Linked DNA regions of Sus scrofa. The protein of the gene in region 1 purifies or fractionates together with the protein of each later gene. This does not show direct contact. Links are inferred from orthologs where the notes say so. Each region holds a gene or a part of one and is shown on either strand. Other genes may lie near its edges. The genes, in order: SNX9, DNM1, DNM3 and SYNJ1.

Region 1 (4,481 bases):
CTAGAAAAACTGCTTTTTTTTTCTTTTTTGTCTTCTGTCTTTTGAGGGCTGCACCCGCGGCCCGTGGAGGTTGCCAGGCTAGGGGTCAAATCGGAGCTGCAGCTGCCGGCCTACACCAGAGCCACAGCAACGTGGGATCTGAGCCGCGTCTGCGACCTGCACCACAGCTCACAGCTAGAAAACTTTTTATCTTTGTCTTTTTTTTTTTTTTTTTTTTTTTGTCTTTTGTCTTTTTGTCTTTTGTCGTTGTTGTTGTTGTTGTTGTTGCTATCTCTTGGGCCGCTTCCGCGGTATATGGAGGTTCCCAGGCTAGGGGTTGAATCGGAGCTGTAGCCACTGGCCTACGCCAGAGCCACAGCAACTCGGGATCCGAGCCGCGTCTGCAACCTACACCACAGCTCACGGCAATGCCGGATCATTAACCCACTGAGCAAGGGCAGGGACGGAACCCGAGACCTCATGGTTCCTAGTCGGATTCGTTAACCACTGCGCCACGACGGGAATTCCAGAAAACTTTTTAAATGTAAGAAGAGTATTTGAAGATAAATCGTCTGGAAGTCATAGACTCTATGTCCTTCAAGCTCCACTGGGTGTAAACTACAGACTCATCCAGAACTCTCTACCGGGGAACCCACAGGGCTGTGTCCACAGCCCTCCTCTTCCGCACGCTTTCCGCGAGGCAGCGTCTCTACGGCACCACTCAAAACAGGACAAACCTAAGGATAAGCCCAGTGAAAACAAAGTCTGAGGCACATGAGGCAGAGCAGCTGTGAGTGTGCGCTCAGGAGGTCAGGGGCTGGCCTGAGTCCCGAGGAAATCACTTCTACCCGTGTGAACCTGGGCAGTGACTTCCCTCTCTGGGCTTCGGCTGCTCCCAGAGTGAAACAGAGGGTCGCATGAGAATGTGCACAAACTGCTTTGCACAAAGCCTGGCACGGGGCACAAGACCAATGAATAGTGAAACATTTGTAAGAAAGTTAACATTATGTTTAGCTTTGCTGTACATCAGCAATGAGTTGATAAAACCAATATTCAGCATATCATTACATGGAACAAATATTTCACTTTAAGATGAAAAAAAAAAACCCAAAACTTTCAAACAAACCTCCAAGCAAAGAGCCACATAAACATGATCAAATCACACCCAAAACTTGGTAGACCACTGACAAGAGAAAAGTGCCTCTTCATATCATCATCTTATTTTTTTCTTTTCTTTTTATGGCTGTACCTGCGGCATATGGAAGTTCCTGGGCCAGGGGTTGAATTAGAGCTGCAGATGCAGCCTATGCCACAGCCACAGCAACGTCAGATCTAAGTCACATCTATGACCTACACCACAGCTTGTGGCAACACTGGACCCTTAACCCACTGTGTGAGGCCAGGGATCAAACCTGCATCCTCACGGACACGATGTCAGGTTCTTAGCCTGCTGAGCCACAATGGGATCTCCTTGTTGCATCTTACATCTGTCTCTTTCTTTCTTTTTTTTTTTCGGTCTTTTTGTTTTTTCAGGGCCGCACCTGAAGCATATGGAGGTTCCCAGCCTAGGGGTCGATTTGGAGCCATAGCCGCCGACCTACGCCACAGCCACAGCAACTCAGGATCCGAGCCGCGTCTCTGACCTACACCACAGCTCACGGCAACGCCGGATCCTTAACCCGCTGAGCAAGACCAGGGATCAAACCCGCAACCTCATGGTTCCTAGTCAGATTTGTTTCCACTGCGCCACGACAGGAACCCCATCTTATATCTGTTTCTACAGAGAGTTCATGTTCCCCCAGTGCCCTGAAACCTACTTGTTAAGCGGCAGCTTCATGGAGGAGGAGCCCGCCCGGCTGTTTCCCCGCTGGGCTCCTCCGGCTTCGGCCGACTCTCCGTCCTTGAAGTAGGGAGACGACGACTTGGGCTCATCCCAGTCTTCGTCCCAGTCGTCATCGTCCCCAGTGGCTGGCGGGAGGCAAAGAAGATCGTCAGCAAAGGAAAACAAGATAAAAACGGGATGACACTTTTCTGATAACAACCGTCAACCGGGTTAACCGTGTACGAAAACTCGGAGAAAAGGGGCGGGGGCAGGACCACACTAAAGACCTGACAAGTACACGCTCTGCGGTCAGTTTTGAGGCTGGAAGATTTTTTTAGAGCAAAAGACAAGCTGGAAACAACTTAAAGTGGGTTGCCAGTCCCAGTACCTTCAGGTAGATGCCAACTATTAACACGCTCAGTGGGCCAGGGAAGGGCTTCCAAAGGCTGGCATGCTGATAGGTCAGGCAGATCAAACACCCTTTAAACAGAGAAGACTGGAGGGGCCGAAGGGGACCCTAGGTCTCTGAAAAGCAGCTGTTCAACACTGATGATAACGCAGGTGAGAAGGGCGAGCTGGTGGAGGAGGGAGAGAGGAGAGGGACGGGCAGCAGCCAGCTGGCGCCAGGGGCCCAGCATTCCGGGAAGAGTCTGTGTCGGGCAAGGCGCTGCCAGCCTCGCTGCCCCCGCCCTTTCTCTTCCACTGCTCCGTGCCTCTGTCTCCCTGAGATGTCCCCTTAGCATCAGGCAGGAAACTGCCCTGGATTTCTGCCCAAAGAGTGCCATCGAGAGAAGCTGAGAGACGAATGGCGAAACAGAAAAGGAGGGGAAAGAAAGTATTAGAAGGATCTGAGCCAAGACGCCCGGGCCACGCCAAGCTACTCGAGGAGCAGGTGTCAGCAGTCTAGTCTCGCCGTTTCTGCTCCACCCACAGCTCCTGGGCCGGCCAGCAGCCAAGCTCCTGTCCACGACTGGGAGCTTGGAACCAGCACCTGGGCCCGTACGGCTCCTGCAGGCGAGTCCCCCGCCATTCAGCACATTCAATTCCTGGCACAATGTACTCATATGGGAATCATTAAAATTACTGGGTGGATCTCTCCTTGTTTTATTTAATCCCAGAACAGACATAAACAGCCTTTCCTAATTCCTCAAGTGTTTCTCCTTTTAGAAATTCTGCTTTTGCCTCAATTTCTGTTAAGAACCTGGGAGTCAGAGAGGTAAAGAAAAGACAGAAGAGCCAAGTGAGAGGTCATAAACTGGCCGCTGATGACCATATTCAATCTGTGTGCACATTTTTGGAGCCAAGATTTAAAAACAAGTGTGTTAGCTGCTAAGATTTTAAAGTGGGAAGATGACATAAAAATTGAGATTCCAGTCTCTGGAACTGTGGAGGCCCAGAAACACCAGCTCAGCTCTGCAATGGTGTCAATCCGCTCCAGAGCAGGGCTGCCCACCTCCATCTTCCGCATGGGGTGGCTCTGTGGCTTTGCTTTATGAACCTGGGCCCACAAGCGTTTCTATTTGTGACTCCATGACAGATAACTGAGAGTGGACTAAAGCTCATAACTGAAGACCACTGGGAATTCCCATTGTGGCTCAGCAGGTTAAGAGCCTGACCAGCATCCATGAGGATGCAGGTCTGATCCCCGGCCTCGCTCAGGGGGTTAAGGATCCAGCATTGCCATGAGCTGTGGTGGAGGTTACAGATGTGGCCTGAATCCCGATTTGCTGAGGCTTGGTGCAGGCCTGCAGCTCCAATTTGACCCCTATCCTGGGAACTTCCATATGCTACAGGTGTGGCCCTAAAAAGCAAAAAAGAAAAAAAGGCCAAAAGGCAAAAAAGAAAAGAATGCCTACATCTGGATCCAGACAAACAAGTCTGCTGTTAGTGAATGCGGGCCGCTGAGAACGGTTCCTGAGATGAAACCTGTCCACCGACGGCAGAGCCTCCTCCTCACCTGGGCCTTGGTAGGCCTGGGGATGACCGAAGGCAGCGTCCCAGTTGTTGGAAGTGTTTCTCTGAGCTGCAGCCCCCTCTGGCTTGGCTCCCCAGCCATCCGTGTTATCCCAGTTTCCAGACTTGGAGGGATTCCAGGCTGACCAGGGGTCATTGCCACTGCTGACCTGTGGTCAAGGGTAAAAAAGAAGAAAGGGTTTGTGACTTCTAGAAAGCATTACTCAATTCAGTAGGACTCACATAATAATTGAACAGGGATGCTGAAAAAATAGATAGAAATCTATAACAGTTTAAAATTTAAATAATACATTTTCAAAAGTAGGAAAGCAAAAAAGTAGCCATCAACCGAATTTTAGTGATGTTAAAAATGTGTCAAGTGGAGTTCTCATCGTGGCTCAGTGGTTAATGAATCCGACTAAAACCATGAGGTTGCAGGTTTGATCCCTGGCCTCGCTCAGCGGGTTAAGGATCCGGCGTTGCCGTCAGCTGTGGTGTAGGTTGCAGACTCGGCTCAGATCCTGCATTGCTATGGCTGTGGTGAAGACCGGTGGCTACAGCTCTGATTCGACCCCTAGCCTGGGAACCTCCATATGCCGTGGGAGCAGCCCTCAAAAGAAAAGGCAAAAAGGCAGAAAAGAAAAAAAAAAGTGTCATGTTTGCCTGGGAACTTTAAAACCAGTCACAAAGAAACTCCCTTTTTTTTCTTCCCTCGAATAACTACTTT
Region 2 (5,095 bases), about 260 Mb from region 1:
ATGGGGGGTTGACTCCCGGAAAGCCTCGGGAGGCAGAGCCACTGTTACCATGCTCACGGGTCTGGGGACCCAGCCCTAGGTCGGGAGCTTGAGAGCCACGGCAGAGCAAGCAGGGCTGAGCAGGGCTTCAAAACCATGCTCAATAGTGCCCAGCTTGTAAGTGGCAGAGCTGAGCTACAAACCCAGGTCTGATGCCAGAGCCCGAGCCCTCAGCCCCTCTGCCACATTCCCACTGGCCTTGGCTTCACCAGGGGTCAAGCTGGAGGGAAGCTGGGCACTGCCCAACTGCCAGCAGGCCTGGGCACTAGAATGAGCGAGGCCAGGGGCACAGGAGCCTGGAAGCCTCTTCCAGGATGCTGGACTTGGGGCTGGACAGATGTTGTGGGGAGGGGGCTCGCGGCGGGGGGCAGACAAAGGGAAGCTTGGGGCCCTGGCAAAATGCTCACATTTTATCTGCACTCCAGCCCTGGCCTCCTTGCTGGCTTTCACGAGTATCAAGCCATACCTCCCCATTCACTCCTTAGCCCCAGGCCCAGCCTCCTGCTCTGCCAGGGGCCTGCCTCATCTGGTGACCCTGTGCACCCACCATCAACGGGTACTGGGTGGCAGAGGGTGGAAAGAGGGCCCCGGCCTCCCCAGCAGAGTCCACATCTTTTCCACCAGCTGACAAGCGAACAGTTGCAGACGGTGGCCGGGCCTGTCTCCCCACTGGCACCTCTCTGCTGGACAGTGCGCTCCAAGAGGCCACCGTCCAGGTGTGTCCCCAAACCTATCCACAGCTCCCTCCCACATGTTTACAAAAGAGGGCTTTGCCACCCTTGAGCTCCCTGGAGCCCCACAGCCAAGATCAGGAAGGCAGGGCGGCAGCTGTCAGTGTGTCCATTCCCCAGATGCGGAAAATGGGGCCCCCACACCTGCACGTCCCCGAGCTCAGTGCAAAGCTTGGTGCTCAGACTGGGTGGGCTGGACATGGGAGTCTAATAGATGCTGTCCTTCCTGGCTGTGTGACCTTGGGCAAGGCCTCCAACCTCAGGGTCTGTTTCCTCACCTGCGGGAGGACCACCAGGGCACCTGCCTCATGAGGCTGTGTGACCCAGCCTATAGAGCATGGTGTGGGGCCTGTGGGAAGGGCTCAGCAGACGGCTGCTGGGGTCACCTTCCCCTCTGCAGCCCCTGCGCAGAGCACGCAGCAGGCACAGAGCAGGGGTTCAGCAGCCGTCCAGCGGATGGAAGGAAGGACTGTGGTTTGCACACTGTAAAGTGCTGGGTGTCCGTGTCATTTACAGCACCAAGGCCTCAGGGCTTTATTGTCTCCAGGGTTCACCCCCCCTCCCTGGACTCTGACTGCCGGCCCTTAGGAAAGGGGCCCATCTGTGTGTCTCATGCTGGTGTCTCTGCAGCTCTGGGGAGGGGGGGTGTCACATGAGCAGGAGGGGGGGGTTCTGTGGGAGTCCGTCCCCTGGAAACAGACGGCACCCCTCTCTGCTGACCAGATGGGTCTGGCCACCCCCACAGTGGCTTTCCAACAGCTCACAGATACATGGCTCCAGGCAGGACCCTCTCCTCTCGCCCCTGGGGTTGGTGCTGGGCTTCCCAGGTCATTTAAGAGGCAGGACCTCTCCAGCCTGGCTGTCCGCACTGGAGATGGTGAAACAGAGGCTCAGAGAGGGTAGTGACTCGCCTGAGGTTTCACAGCAGAGCCTGGCTTGGACCCAGGATGTTTTGCCCCAGAACTGCGTCCCTCTGAGGGGGAAGTTCTGCCTGCCTCCCTCTCCCATGTGCCATTGGCTTCTTTAGCCATGAAGGTCATTGGAAGAAAGCTAGGGTTTCTGATGAAGGTGAGAGAGGGAGATGACAGAGGGGGGAGGTCAGTGTCAATTCTCCTGCCTCCTCCCTCAGTCTGCCCAGCACCCCCCACCTCCAGCACCAGGAGAGCGCCCCCTCTCTCCTTCTCAGCACCCGAAAAGCCATCTCCACCTCCCCTTTCTTGGGGAACCCTGGGGGGGTCACGACCCTGCCTGCCTCCCTAAACCCGGGGTCCTTTGTCTTTGTGGTTGCCCCCCACTCCCTGCCACCTGGCCCTCCCAGCGCCTTGTGGGATCAGAGGCAGGAGGGGGATTAGGTTGTGCAAATGGCTCCCCCCCCCTCCTCCCCGCCATCCTGCCTCCCTGTCTTAGTCATCTCTGCCCTCCGCCGCCTTCTCCCTCCATTACAATTCCTCTGCCAGGCCAAGGGGAGAACAACACTGACAGGCGCCCCCCACCCCACCCAGGGGCGGCGGCGGGGCAAGGGGCCGGCTGCTCAGTAAAGGATCCCCCCCAACCCATCCTGCAGCCCGCGCCTCCCCCTTCTTCCGCGCTGCGCACGGATGGCGGCTGGGGCCGCAGAGGTGTGTGTGTGTGACGGCGGGGGGAGGCTGTGTGACATGCCCAGGGGGCTATGTCTTCTCCCAGGGGCAATTGGGGGGGTGTCCCCTGCCAAGGTCCAGGAATTCCCGTGAAGGGAGGGAGCTGTCCTCCGTAGAGCCTGGGGGTGGGGGAACTGCCCTGGGGACGCTGCCCGCTTTAAGGGACCCCCCCCCGCCAGAGCCGTAGGGAGGTGCTGAGTAATGCAGGCCCCTCAGTGCCCATGGAGGGTGGGGGGTGGGGGACAGTCCTTTACCAGGGTCTCTTGGCACAGCGCTGTCTTCCCTAAAGGATGGGGCGGAGGAGGGGGGCGTGATCCCGTGGTCGCCGGCTTGACGTTTGCGGACAAGGAGGGGGTGCTGCGCCCCTGAGGGGCTCTTGGGGAGGGGAGGGCCGCCTCCTTCGGGCTGGAGGTGGGGGGCGCGCGATCCGCGGCGCCCAGCCTGGGGCTGTGAGGTCGCGGCGCCGTCGGGGCCGGGTGGCGAAGGCCGGGAGGACCCGAGCTGGGGGAGTCCGCGCTCAGGGGCGCGCCGCTCCTACCTGCCTACGAAATTCTCGAGCACCGAGCTCTTCCCGGCGCTCTGGCCGCCCACCACGGCGATCTGCGGCAGGTCGAGGTCCGCATTCTGGCCGATGGCAGAGAAGGCATCCTGCAGCCGGTTGACCAGCGGGATGAGATCCTCCATGCCGCGGTTGCCCATGGCTGCGGCGGGCCCCGCGGGCTGCGATGCGGCCGCCGCTGGTGCTCTCGGCTTCGGCTCCGCCGCTGCAGCCGCGCGCTCCGACTGCCTGCGCCGCGGGTCCCCCGCCCCTCGGGGATCGGAGCGGAGCGCTGCGCCAGGGTGCCGCTAGAGGGCGCCCAAAGTGCTGCGGGCCGGCAGCCATGCGCAGGCGCCCGCCGCTGCACCATGGGGATTGTAGTTTTCTCCTTCTGCGGCTTTTGGGGCGCTGGAGCCGTGTCTGGGCGGGGGTGGGGGGGGCGAAGGCTTCGCAGTAGATGTCGTTCCTGTAAATGGGCAAAATGTCCTAGGCACTAGGCAGTCTTCGTACCGGGCCCCACGGATGGTTGTCATGGCTGCCTTACTCCATCTTCCAGATGGGGAAACTGAGGCTTGGAGAGATGGGCCTCCTGCGAGGTCACAGTCTCAGTGACCTGGAGTGTCACTTGGCCTCACTGCCTTCTACTGTACGTCCTGACACTAATTCATCTCTGGCCTGTCCCTTCCCCTCCTTGGGCCTCAGTTTCCCTGTTTCTAGAATGAGAAGATAACAGAACATGAATTCAATGAAAATTTACGGAACACCTACTTATAAGCCAGACCCTGTCCGAGGCACTGGAGACACAGCAGTGAGCAAGACAACCAAGGTCTCCACCCTCATAGATCTTAACTTCCAGGTGGTGGGGACAGACAGTAAATGAATAAATAGGTACATGAAACAGTGCAAGTGAAAATAGCTTATACTAATAGGGATGGAAGAAATACACAAGGGGTGTGAAGAGGGGTACCTGTGTGGGTGCAAAGAGGCCTCTTTAGCCTGGGAGATTAGGGGGGTTCCCTGAGAAGGTGGTATGGAGGGGAGACCTAAATGATGAGAAGGAACCAGCCACAGGCAGGCAGATCAGGGGGGAGGAGCATGCCAGCCCAAGTGAACCACAAGTACAAAGTGCATGATGCTGGGAAGACCCTTCTTGGGAGAGTTGGGCCTTCTCATTTGGGAAAGTGGCAGCCTTTTCCAAACCCATCCATCACGGTGGTGGTAAAACAGTGGGATTTGAATCTAGGACTCCCACAGCCCTACCCCTGGTATCCTTGTCGCATGGAGAGACCATGGGGCCCCAGGCCTAGCCATCCACCTCTGCCCTTAAGGAACCTAATTTGGATTCCCCATTAGGAGGCTAGGAAAGAGAGGCCAGCCTGTCCCGTGCTGTTGTGGGTCACCCTGTGTGTGAACAGAGTGGCCGCAGCGCTGGCAGATCAGTGGCCTGTGAGGCAGAGACGGTCACTCATGCACCCGTGTGAGGCATATTTATTGACCAGGGGCTCTGCTAGACTCCAGAGATAAAGCAATGAGCACAATGAACAAAATCCTTACCCACATCTGGCTAACAGTCTAGTGGAAAAAAGAGGACAAGGCACAAACAAGCCAATAAATAGAATTGTCAGATAGAGATGGGAGCTTTGGAAAACAAAAAAGCTAGGGAAGGTTGGAGGCGAGGGCAATGTTGCTATTTTGATAGGGTGATTGGGGGAGGACTCTGGTAAAAACGTGAGCAGAGGGAGTTCCCCTTGTGGCTCAGGGGGTTAATAACCTGACTAGTATCCATGAGGATGTGGGTTCGATCCCTGACCTCACTCAGTGGGTTAAGGATCCGGCGTTAGGTTGCAGATGTAACTGACATCCTGCATGGCTGTGGCTGTGGAATAGGCCGGCAGTGCCAGCTTGGATTCGACCCTCGCCCAGGAACTTCCATATACAGAAGGTGCGGTCCCCACCCCGGCCCCCCAAAATGTGAGCAGACACCTGATGGAAGCGAGGGGTACCCCATTTCCCAGGCAGGCAGAGGAGACTAGGCAAACTCTATCCCAGAAGACTGGTCAGGGCCTTCGATGAGTCTACCATCCAGATCCCTTCTGAGCCTCAGTTATCTAATCTGGGGAATGGGGATAACGATAGATCAGAACGCCTGC
Region 3 (4,481 bases), on another chromosome or scaffold:
ATACAGGATAGATTACTGTATAAAAGTTTCCCAGAAGTCCTAGGTAACTTAAATTTATTTGGAAGTAGGATCAAAGTGCCACTGAGCTTAGAACTAGAAGGGATATCAAGAGAAAATTTGGTTCAGTCGCTGACTTCTGAGATTTGGCCTCTCCAGCCTCTGCATGTCCATTGTCCCCCTCACACTTTAGGAATCACTTTAGTTCCCTATCCACATCCTGTGCCTCCACCTCTCAGCCTTTACTATTCCTCCATTTCTGTCTGGAACAATCTTCCCCCCAACCCCAACCCACCTTTCCTGCTTAACCAGCTGTTCATCCTTCTTAACTGAGCTCAGGAGCCAGGCTCTCTTACACTGTTGGGCTGGGATTCATGTTCACGGGCTGTGTTTCCATAGCACCCTGTACTGAAGTTTATCACTTTATATATCAGCACATTTTAATGAAACTGTCTATTTACCCATCAGCCTCCTACACCAAGACATAAGCACCCACCTCCGTATGTGAGGCAAGTAACATGGTCCCTAAAACTATGCAGCTGCCTATTGGGCCTTTCAAACTTAACATACCCAAAACAGAACCCTTGATTCATAACTTAACACTGAGCTTTTCCTCAGTTCCCCTCCTCTTCTGGGCACTAACTCTCAGTTTGCAAGACAAAATCTTGGGAGTCATCTTGACTCGTCTCTTTCTTGCATCTCCCATATCAAACCAACTCCTACTGCCATTACCATCAAAATCACAAATGCACCTCTCCTCTCAAGCCTCTCTTCTGAGGCATTTTTACTATAAAGCTAAAGAAGTTTATAAGTTTTAGGGCTTCTTCCTTGCATAAGTTCCTTCCAAGACCTGTGCCTGTGTGTTCATAATTTTGTATTCTTCTTCTTCTTCAAGGGAGCCCCCCAAATTATACAGGTTTCAGGCCCCACAGAAAGGGATCCACCTCGGCTCTGCCCCTGCTGTTTAACTCACCTTACTTGTCTTCCTGAATCCACCCTTGTCCCTTTACAATCCAATCCACATAGTGTTCTTTTTAAATCACCAACCAAATCAGGTCACACCTTTGCTTAAAACTCTCCTCTGACTTCCCATTGTTAAATGTAAACACCTCACAGCAACCTAGAAAGCCCTGCCTAAACTGGGCACATTCTTCCTCTGAATTCGTTTTCTCTACCTTCTCCTTCACCAGCTCTGCACCAGCCTCAAGGGTTCCTCACCTGCTCTATGGGTGCTTGCCTTAGGGCCTTGTCTTTGACTTCTGGCCTTGGACAACCTTCTTCCTCCAGATCCTTACGGCTGACCTCTTCATGTCATTCTGGTCATGCTTTAAAGATCCCGCAGTCAGAGAGACCTTGCCCGAACATTCCACCCAAAGTGGCTATCCATCTCCCATTTCTCTCACACTATGCTACATAATAATATACTTGATATATTCCTACTTTGCCTATTTGTTAATTTTCTGCCTTCTCCCACCAGACGGTGTCTCTGTCTTGATCCCCAGCACCTAGCTCACTGGTACACAGTAGGTGCTCAAGAAATATTTTGAAATTAATTAGACAATAAATAAACATCATAGGAACCAATTAGCAGTTGTTGAATTATTTCAAATGTCATTCAATTCCATTAAATAAAATCAGTAAGAAAATATTGCTCTCTAAATTTCATTAGTTAAGTGTGGAGGCTTTCATTTAAAGAATCACCTTAGTCCCATACCACTCACATAACATTTTATGAACAGTTACATAGAAATGAAATGAGACAAAGGGAAAAAGAACAATATATGGTACTAACCTTTACTATCTCAAAAGGAAAGCGTTCATGGAAAATACGATTGATTTTAGCACCCCCTGAGAGCTCCAGTGTATCTACTTGATCCCCTGACCCTTCAATTCTCTTCTCAAAGTCCACAGCAAATTGCTGAACCATCCTATAATTGTGAAAGAGAAATAAATTTAAGTTAAGGTTACAAGGCTTCATGTTTTTCATTTTAATTTGCTACGGTTATCCCTCAAAATTCTTTTCCTGGGGTTCTTAGTGGCACCTACTGGCAGAATTAACATTGCACTCTATTCAGCATGCAAAATGTAACAATATGAAGTACACGTTATTAAGATTTATTTTAGACATTTAATTTAAAAGATATATATTTGAAACATCTGTGTCATTAAATGCATTCTGTCCATTTAGTTGCAAACATGAAATGGTATTTAAAAACACCTAAATTAAGAATGAAAGTTAAGCAATACAACTTGATGTATAATAGTCAAATGAGCCATGACTCTTGTGGCATCACAATCACTTAGTCTCCCACTGTCTCACTTCATGAGCTATTCTCTTTCTGGGCCCCAGCATCAGAGACCTCACTGTGCTAAACAATGCAAATTTGTGGCCTCCACCCATGCACCTTTACAACTAGCACCAGCCTTGTTTTTCAATGACTCCTCAGAGTTTAGTAAAATTAAATCTCCTGACCCCATCACCTAAGACTCTCCATGGTCTGGCCCTGTTTGCCCTGTTTCTTACCACTCATCCCCACTCAGCTTCCAAGCTGTATCACAGTTCCCCACATGCACCAAGTCTCTACACTTTTACACTTGTTTTCCTTTCTGCTCTGCCTTGTGCTTCTTTGTCTGGCTAACTTTCATCTGTCCGTCAAGACTCAGCTCGAGCATTAGTTTTCCCAGGAAACATCCCATGACCCATGGTCCTACCCACCTTCACCACTCTTTGCCACCCGGATGAAGGGCTCCCTCCTCAGCTTCCTCAGTATACTTTCAACAAAGCACTTAGCAGAGTATATCACCATTGTTCATTTATCAGTCCCTCTTCTAAGGGCAAGGACCATGCATTTTATTTACTTCCCCTGTCTCAGCATAGAAGAGGTATTCAATAAGATCAATGAAGAAATAAATTACCTCAGGGTGGTTGATACAAAAAACATATATTATAGGGGAAAACTGACTACTTGTATTTGTGATTACTAGCTTTAGAAACTCTAATTTTGACATACTGGCACTACTTTCAAATTCAAAACCTAATAACACAATTCAAACCATCTAAAGTTTGCATCTTTTATGCTCTTTCATCAAAATCATGGATGAATTAAAAGTAACTGCAACTAGGGACTCCCTGTCGTGGCGCAGTGGAAATGAATCTGACTAGGAACCATGAGGTTGTAGGTTCGATCCCTGGCCTTGCTCAGTGGTTAAGGATCTGGCGTTGCCATGAGCTGTGGTGTAGGTCACAGACATGGCTCGGATCTGGCGTTGCTGTAGCTCTGGAGTAAGCCAGCAGCTACAGCTCCAATTAGATCCCTAGCCTGGGAACCTCCATATGCAGTAGGTGCAGCCCTTTTTAAAAAAAAAGAAAAAAAAAGAAAAAAAGGTAACTGCAAATATTTAGGTCGGAAAAGCTAGACCATAATTGGATATAGCTATATTCATGTATATGCTAATGTTAATCTAATTTGAAACACCTGGAAAGGTAAGGAACACTGGGAAACTTTTGAAAATTTACCTCTAGTCACTGCTTTCTGCATATCCTATATCCCAGCCACCTGGTCGACTAGAACAAGCTGCTCAGAGGTTCACACTATTCTCTTAACCTCCTTTTGCCACCTAACAAACTCCTCCCATATTTCAGGATCTCTCTGAATTCGTACTCTTACTCCCATGTAACTGCTCTTCATCTGGGATTCCTTAATATTTTATAATTACCAGAAATGTAGCATTTATCAGATTTTAACAAAGTTACTTATATGTCTGTTTCTCTTGCTATACTATGACGTCTTCTTGAAGGCAAAAATCTTATCCCTTGCTGAAGCCCCAGTGGATAGCACAGGGCCAGACATCAAGTGTAATGCACAGAGATAAGAGCAGGCAAGGAGTTCCCGTCGTGGCGCAGTGGTTAACGAATCCGACTAGGAACCATGAGGTTGTGGGTTCGGTCCCTGCCCTTGCTCAGTGGGTTAACGATCCGGCGTTGCCGTGAGCTGTGGTGTAGGTTGCAGACGCGGCTCGGATCCCCCGTTGCTGTGGCTCTGGCGTAGGCCGGAGAATACAGCTCCGATTAGACCCCTAGCCTGGGAACCTCCATATGCCACGGGAGCGGCCCAAGAAATAGCAAAAAGACAAAAAAAAAAAAAAAAAAAAGAGCAGGCAATATGGAAGGTAGAAAGGGAGGGAGAGAAGGAGGAGGAAGAAAGAAAGGAAAGGAGCTGAATCAGTTCCCTACAAGGGAAGAATCTGGCTGCAGAAAATTGTAATATGAGTCCAATAGAATTACAGAGGCAAGGCCCAGTCTTTGCAAAGAGAACAGTTTCTTTTGATGATGACCTAGGGCCTAAACAGAAATAATTTTCCTTTCTCTGTAACTTGAAGAGGTTTTAATAGGAGCTTAACCAAAGCCAAGAGTAAAAGAAAAAGATAAACTAGGACATACTCAAAACCAAGAAAAATTCTTTTCTACATATGACAATTTTTTA
Region 4 (4,436 bases), on another chromosome or scaffold:
TGCTGACTTTGACTGCGGGCGGGCCCTTCGGGTCAAAACTGTCCTTAAAGCCCTCCAGCGACGATGCAGGCTTGATCTCACCAAGAGGCTTCAGAGAAGGGAAAGGACTCTGAGCAACAGGCTGTTCTTGGGAGAACCATGAAGTTGCCTCTGATTCTTGAGACCCAGCTCTAAAGGGGTTTCCGGGAGCGGCAGTCCTGTCGGTGAAAGGGTTTGTGCCGCTCGAGCTCGTGACGAATGGGTTTGGCGAACAGCGTGTGTTTTCCTGGGATTTACTCCGGGCTGGAATTGGAGGCATTGTCGGCATGCAGCTTGCAGAACTCAAAGTATTCGTGTTGCCTGGGGTTGCGCAAGGCAACGGAATCAACCCCTCTGGGTCTGGGGTTTGAACAGGGAACTGATCCTTTAATACAGTAAGCAGATTCAACGACAGGTCTTCAAACGGGTCACTCTTTAATGGCGAGTCCAGTCTGACGGCGGAGACTCCGTTTGTTTTTACCTGGAAAAGAGAGCACTGAATAATCAGAAAAAAACCAAAAAGTATTCTATTTACTTTGAATACCCCCTATGCTTCCTGTCTCAATTACTTTTCATGGAGGGGGGCACGCATACAAATTTAGAAAAAAAAAAAAAGCTTTGTATATTGAGTCTGTTACTCTGGTGGTTTAAGTAAGATACAACAGCTGAAATTGTATTTTTAAAAAACACCCGGCTCAGTAAGTCCTTGTAATGAGTAGAGCTTATTTCATCCATGCAAGTATGGATATGGTGGCGTGGAGAACTGTACAGAGTTAGCAAATGGGTTTTGCTCAGCCCCGTTCTATCAGACGTTCACACGAACTGAAGACACCCAATACCCAGGAGCTCCTGCTGTGGCTCAACAGGATCAGTGGCGTCTTAGGAGCACTGGGATGCAGGTTCAGTGCCCAGCCTGGCACAGTGCGTTAAGGACCCAGTGTTGCTGCAGCTGCGGTGGAGGTTGCAACTGCAGCTCGGATCTGACCCCTGGCCTGGGAACTCCACATGCTGAGGCATGGCCAAAAAAAAAAAAAAAGAAACCCATATTCAGAACTTACGCTGAATCTCTAGAAATTAACTTCCAACACCCATCTATGATGATGATGTGGCATCTCTGTTCATTTAAATATATTTTCATTTAGAGTTACTATGACTTTGGAAATTCAACTTTATGGATGAAAGTTAGTTTTGTTACCATAATTGCATTCATAAGCTGAAGACCATGCATCTTTTCCTTTTCTACTTGGAAAAATAAATTTTCAAAGCATTCTTTGCCTTTTAATGTAAAGTTCTTCTTTACAGAATCACCTCTGTGAATAATGTGACAATATTCCTCCATGGACCTTCCCTCATCGAAACATGCTCCCAAACAGAATTTGTTGACCACTAAATGCAGCGATTGTTTACAACTTGGGTGTGTGTGTGTGTGTGTGTGTGTGGTGTGGGCAGGGTGTGTGGGGGGGAATCCCATTTTCTATTTCGTCTATCAATTCTTAAACCAACATGAAGCTGTGCGCAGAGGGTACCCAGTTCTTTCCATGTGACAGAGTTGGCTGTGAACTGTTACTGGTAAGAGGAGGGATCAAAATTACTTCACTCTGTGCCTCTTTCACAAGGAAGCCGGCTGAAGCGGAGCACGGCTGTGGGACTGAGAAAAGCCAACTGTTCTTATGGGAAACAGAACTGTGATCTTGACCTCAATGAGACAATTAGCTCATCAGGTACTTCATTTTAATTAAAAAAAAAACACACCTCTGCATAATTATTAAAAGTAGATGGGTGACTTGGATACCTCTGCCAAATTAAGAGGAAGAAAATAAACCTTGGATAAGGACAGGGGAAGGAGAATTTTAGCTCAAGACTTACGAGGTAAAAAAATGGAGCACTATCCAAAATGCACTTAGGTAGTTGTTAAAGCAAATAACTAAATGGAGTTCCCACTGTGGTACAGTGGGTTAAGGATCTGGCGTTGCCACAGCTGTTGCTTGCATTTGATCCCTAGCCCAGGAACTTCCTTATGTTATGGGCACAGTCAAAAAAAAAAAAAAAAAAAAAAAAAAAAAGCAAATAGCTAAACATTCATGAGATACGCTGGAAAAGAGAGCAGCAGTCCCAATGAAACAAATACAATTGCATCTTGAAGCAGTAACTTGGTGCTTAGGAATAGGGAAGGCTGTTCATTTGCCAAAGGAACTGGTGTAGATAACCTCCTAAGTGAATCGCCCTCTGTCTGGTATCTGTTTTCAGAGTGATCTAAAACATACTTCATAATTGAGGAAACAAATATGTTTTTCTTCAAACTTAATATGAACAATAAATTTGTACAAAATTGAAGAATAAACACGTCACAGACTCTGAATTACATTCTAAGTGTACGGAAGGGAAGCAGACCCATATGAGGAAAGGTACTTAAGACAAATGTGTTAATGGACATTATAACATTGTAATTAACTCTATATTACCAATAATGTCTGGATTATTTATGATTCACATACCAAAAGCGAAGGACTCGATTGGGTCTGGGACCCAGTTTTCCCGTGGTAGAAAGAAGAGTTCACAACACAGACATTATAGGTGAGAAGTTTATGTTCCGCACAGCTTAGAAGAGTAGGCTCTTGCCAAATAAATGTTACACATTGAAATAGCTTTATTTTCATATACTAAACTTTTTTCTTTCAAAATAATTTCAAGGTAATTTGCTAGAAACAAGATCATTTTGCCCAATCAGACTTGAAATTAGAATGAGAGCCACACCATCCTTCATGACATTAGAACTAACTCATAAAGCAGGATTTGTGATGATGATATTAATGACGATGGTATTTTTACAGAGAAGGGTGTTGGAAGGCCTCTTATAATCTTGTTACAATGTTAACTTGTATCTTTGTAAATCATCAATTCTGCCTTAGCAAAAAGAGTCTTGCTACTAAAATTATTTTTTTAAAATTTCCCCAAAGACATCTAAGAATAAAAGTTAAATCTGTATTTATTTAATTGTGCCATTGTTAAAAACAAGAACCAATTTGATTTCGCCAGACTTTTGTATGCCTAAAGCTTACCTTCTTGAAGTGACATTTTTTAGTTTTGTTAATTTTTGTAAGAAACAAAGCCAAAAAAAAAAAAAAAAAAGGGAAAGCATTAGCAAGAACAACTAAAACGGTTCCTAAAAATTCAAAGTACTAAGAAAAACAGCAGTCTCTACTATGGTATGATAACAGAATTTATTAATGTGGACACGTGGTTTTAAAATGAGTGAAACTTTAGATGTATGAAGCAAAAGATTCATACATCTAATGTGCTAAGACAGATGAGAAGCACATACAAGATTGAGAAATTATCCAATACCTGTTACCCTGATGGTTGCTCCTGCTTTGAGAAAGGGAACACAGACATCAAAGGAAAGAGTTAGGAGGATAATCTGAGACCAACCGGCAACCCTAACAATTCAATCTTCAATATATTATATTACATTTAGTTCTACATTACACACAAAATCCAAAAGCAGTGGTATTTACGGGTCACAGCATAAGATCAAGAGATAATTCCAACTTCTTCTGTCATTTCCAATGAACAATACATGGGTAAATTAGAGCTCAAACTTTAGTTTTCTCTGAGGCTGATTACTAACTGGTTCAAAGCGGTCGTCCCCAAAACAATATGCTAAATAGGTTTTTGGCGCTCTAAACTATTTTAAGCAGACTGTTTTGGATGAAATGTTTGTGTCCCCCCAGAACTGCTGTGTTGAAGCCCTAACCCCCAATGTGATGGCATTTGGAGATGTGGCCTTTGGGAGGTAACTGGGGTTAGATGAGGTGAGGCCCTCATGATGGGATTAGCAGCCTCAGGAGGAGACAGGCCAGCGGCTTGCTCTCTTGCTCTTTTTCTTCTCGTGCAAGCACCAAGGACAGGCCATGTGAACACGCAGCAGAAGGGCAGCTGTCTGCAAGCCAGGAAAAGAGCTGTCACCAGAACCCAACTACCTTGGCATCCTGATCTTGGACGTCCAGCCTCCAGAGCTATGAGAGAACAAATTTCTACTGTTTGAGCCACTCAGTTTATGGTATTTTGTTCTGAAGGCCCAAGAAGAGTAGGACATGGCCTTAAGGTAGCCTATGGCTTTATCATCATTAAAGAAAATAGCATCACTTTGCAAAAAGGTGAAAATTAGTTTTTTTAACAAATGTTCAGGATCCGGGCTTAGTCTACATTACTCAAATTTTTTGAAGGGTGATACTATCATTAATTCACTTTATTAGTTGGAAGGTAAAACAAAGCAAAAAACTGGATCCTTTTTTCGTTGTTTAAAAATGAAATCATAATCTTTCTGTAACAGTGCTTTTAAAAGTTACAGTAGTCTCAAGAAACAGTTTGAGCACATCTTCCCTAATATTTAAAGCTTACCTTATTTAAAAATACCG

The links.
Region 2: the proteins of SNX9 (region 1) and DNM1 purify together in Homo sapiens (co-immunoprecipitation; 6 studies listed by BioGRID and IntAct, counting the BioPlex papers as one, with this or other methods). This does not show direct contact. The link is inferred for Sus scrofa from reciprocal best matches to the Homo sapiens genes SNX9 and DNM1.
Region 3: the proteins of SNX9 (region 1) and DNM3 purify together in Homo sapiens (co-immunoprecipitation; 3 studies listed by BioGRID and IntAct, counting the BioPlex papers as one, with this or other methods). This does not show direct contact. The link is inferred for Sus scrofa from reciprocal best matches to the Homo sapiens genes SNX9 and DNM3.
Region 4: the proteins of SNX9 (region 1) and SYNJ1 purify together in Homo sapiens (co-immunoprecipitation; 3 studies listed by BioGRID and IntAct, counting the BioPlex papers as one, with this or other methods). This does not show direct contact. The link is inferred for Sus scrofa from reciprocal best matches to the Homo sapiens genes SNX9 and SYNJ1.

The regions. Positions count from the first base shown.
Region 1 is NC_010443.5:9,165,675-9,170,155, forward strand, and holds part of SNX9 (sorting nexin-9), read right to left. Parts: intron 3,925-4,481; coding exon 3,759-3,924; intron 1,948-3,758; coding exon 1,797-1,947; intron 1-1,796. UniProt on the Homo sapiens protein: Involved in endocytosis and intracellular vesicle trafficking, both during interphase and at the end of mitosis. Required for efficient progress through mitosis and cytokinesis. Required for normal formation of the cleavage furrow at the end of mitosis.
Region 2 is NC_010443.5:268,651,185-268,656,279, reverse strand, and holds the start of DNM1 (dynamin-1), read right to left. Parts: upstream 3,213-5,095; 5' UTR 3,107-3,212; coding exon 2,946-3,106; intron 2,390-2,945; exon of another isoform or gene 1-2,389. UniProt on the Homo sapiens protein: Catalyzes the hydrolysis of GTP and utilizes this energy to mediate vesicle scission and participates in many forms of endocytosis, such as clathrin-mediated endocytosis or synaptic vesicle endocytosis as well as rapid endocytosis (RE).
Region 3 is NC_010451.4:114,429,617-114,434,097, reverse strand, and holds part of DNM3 (dynamin-3), read right to left. Parts: intron 1,926-4,481; coding exon 1,790-1,925; intron 1-1,789. UniProt on the Homo sapiens protein: Microtubule-associated force-producing protein involved in producing microtubule bundles and able to bind and hydrolyze GTP. Most probably involved in vesicular trafficking processes, in particular endocytosis.
Region 4 is NC_010455.5:196,232,699-196,237,134, forward strand, and holds part of SYNJ1 (synaptojanin-1), read right to left. Parts: intron 3,388-4,436; coding exon of another isoform or gene 3,367-3,387; exon of another isoform or gene 3,364-3,366; intron 500-3,363; coding exon 1-499. UniProt on the Homo sapiens protein: Phosphatase that acts on various phosphoinositides, including phosphatidylinositol 4-phosphate, phosphatidylinositol (4,5)-bisphosphate and phosphatidylinositol (3,4,5)-trisphosphate. Has a role in clathrin-mediated endocytosis.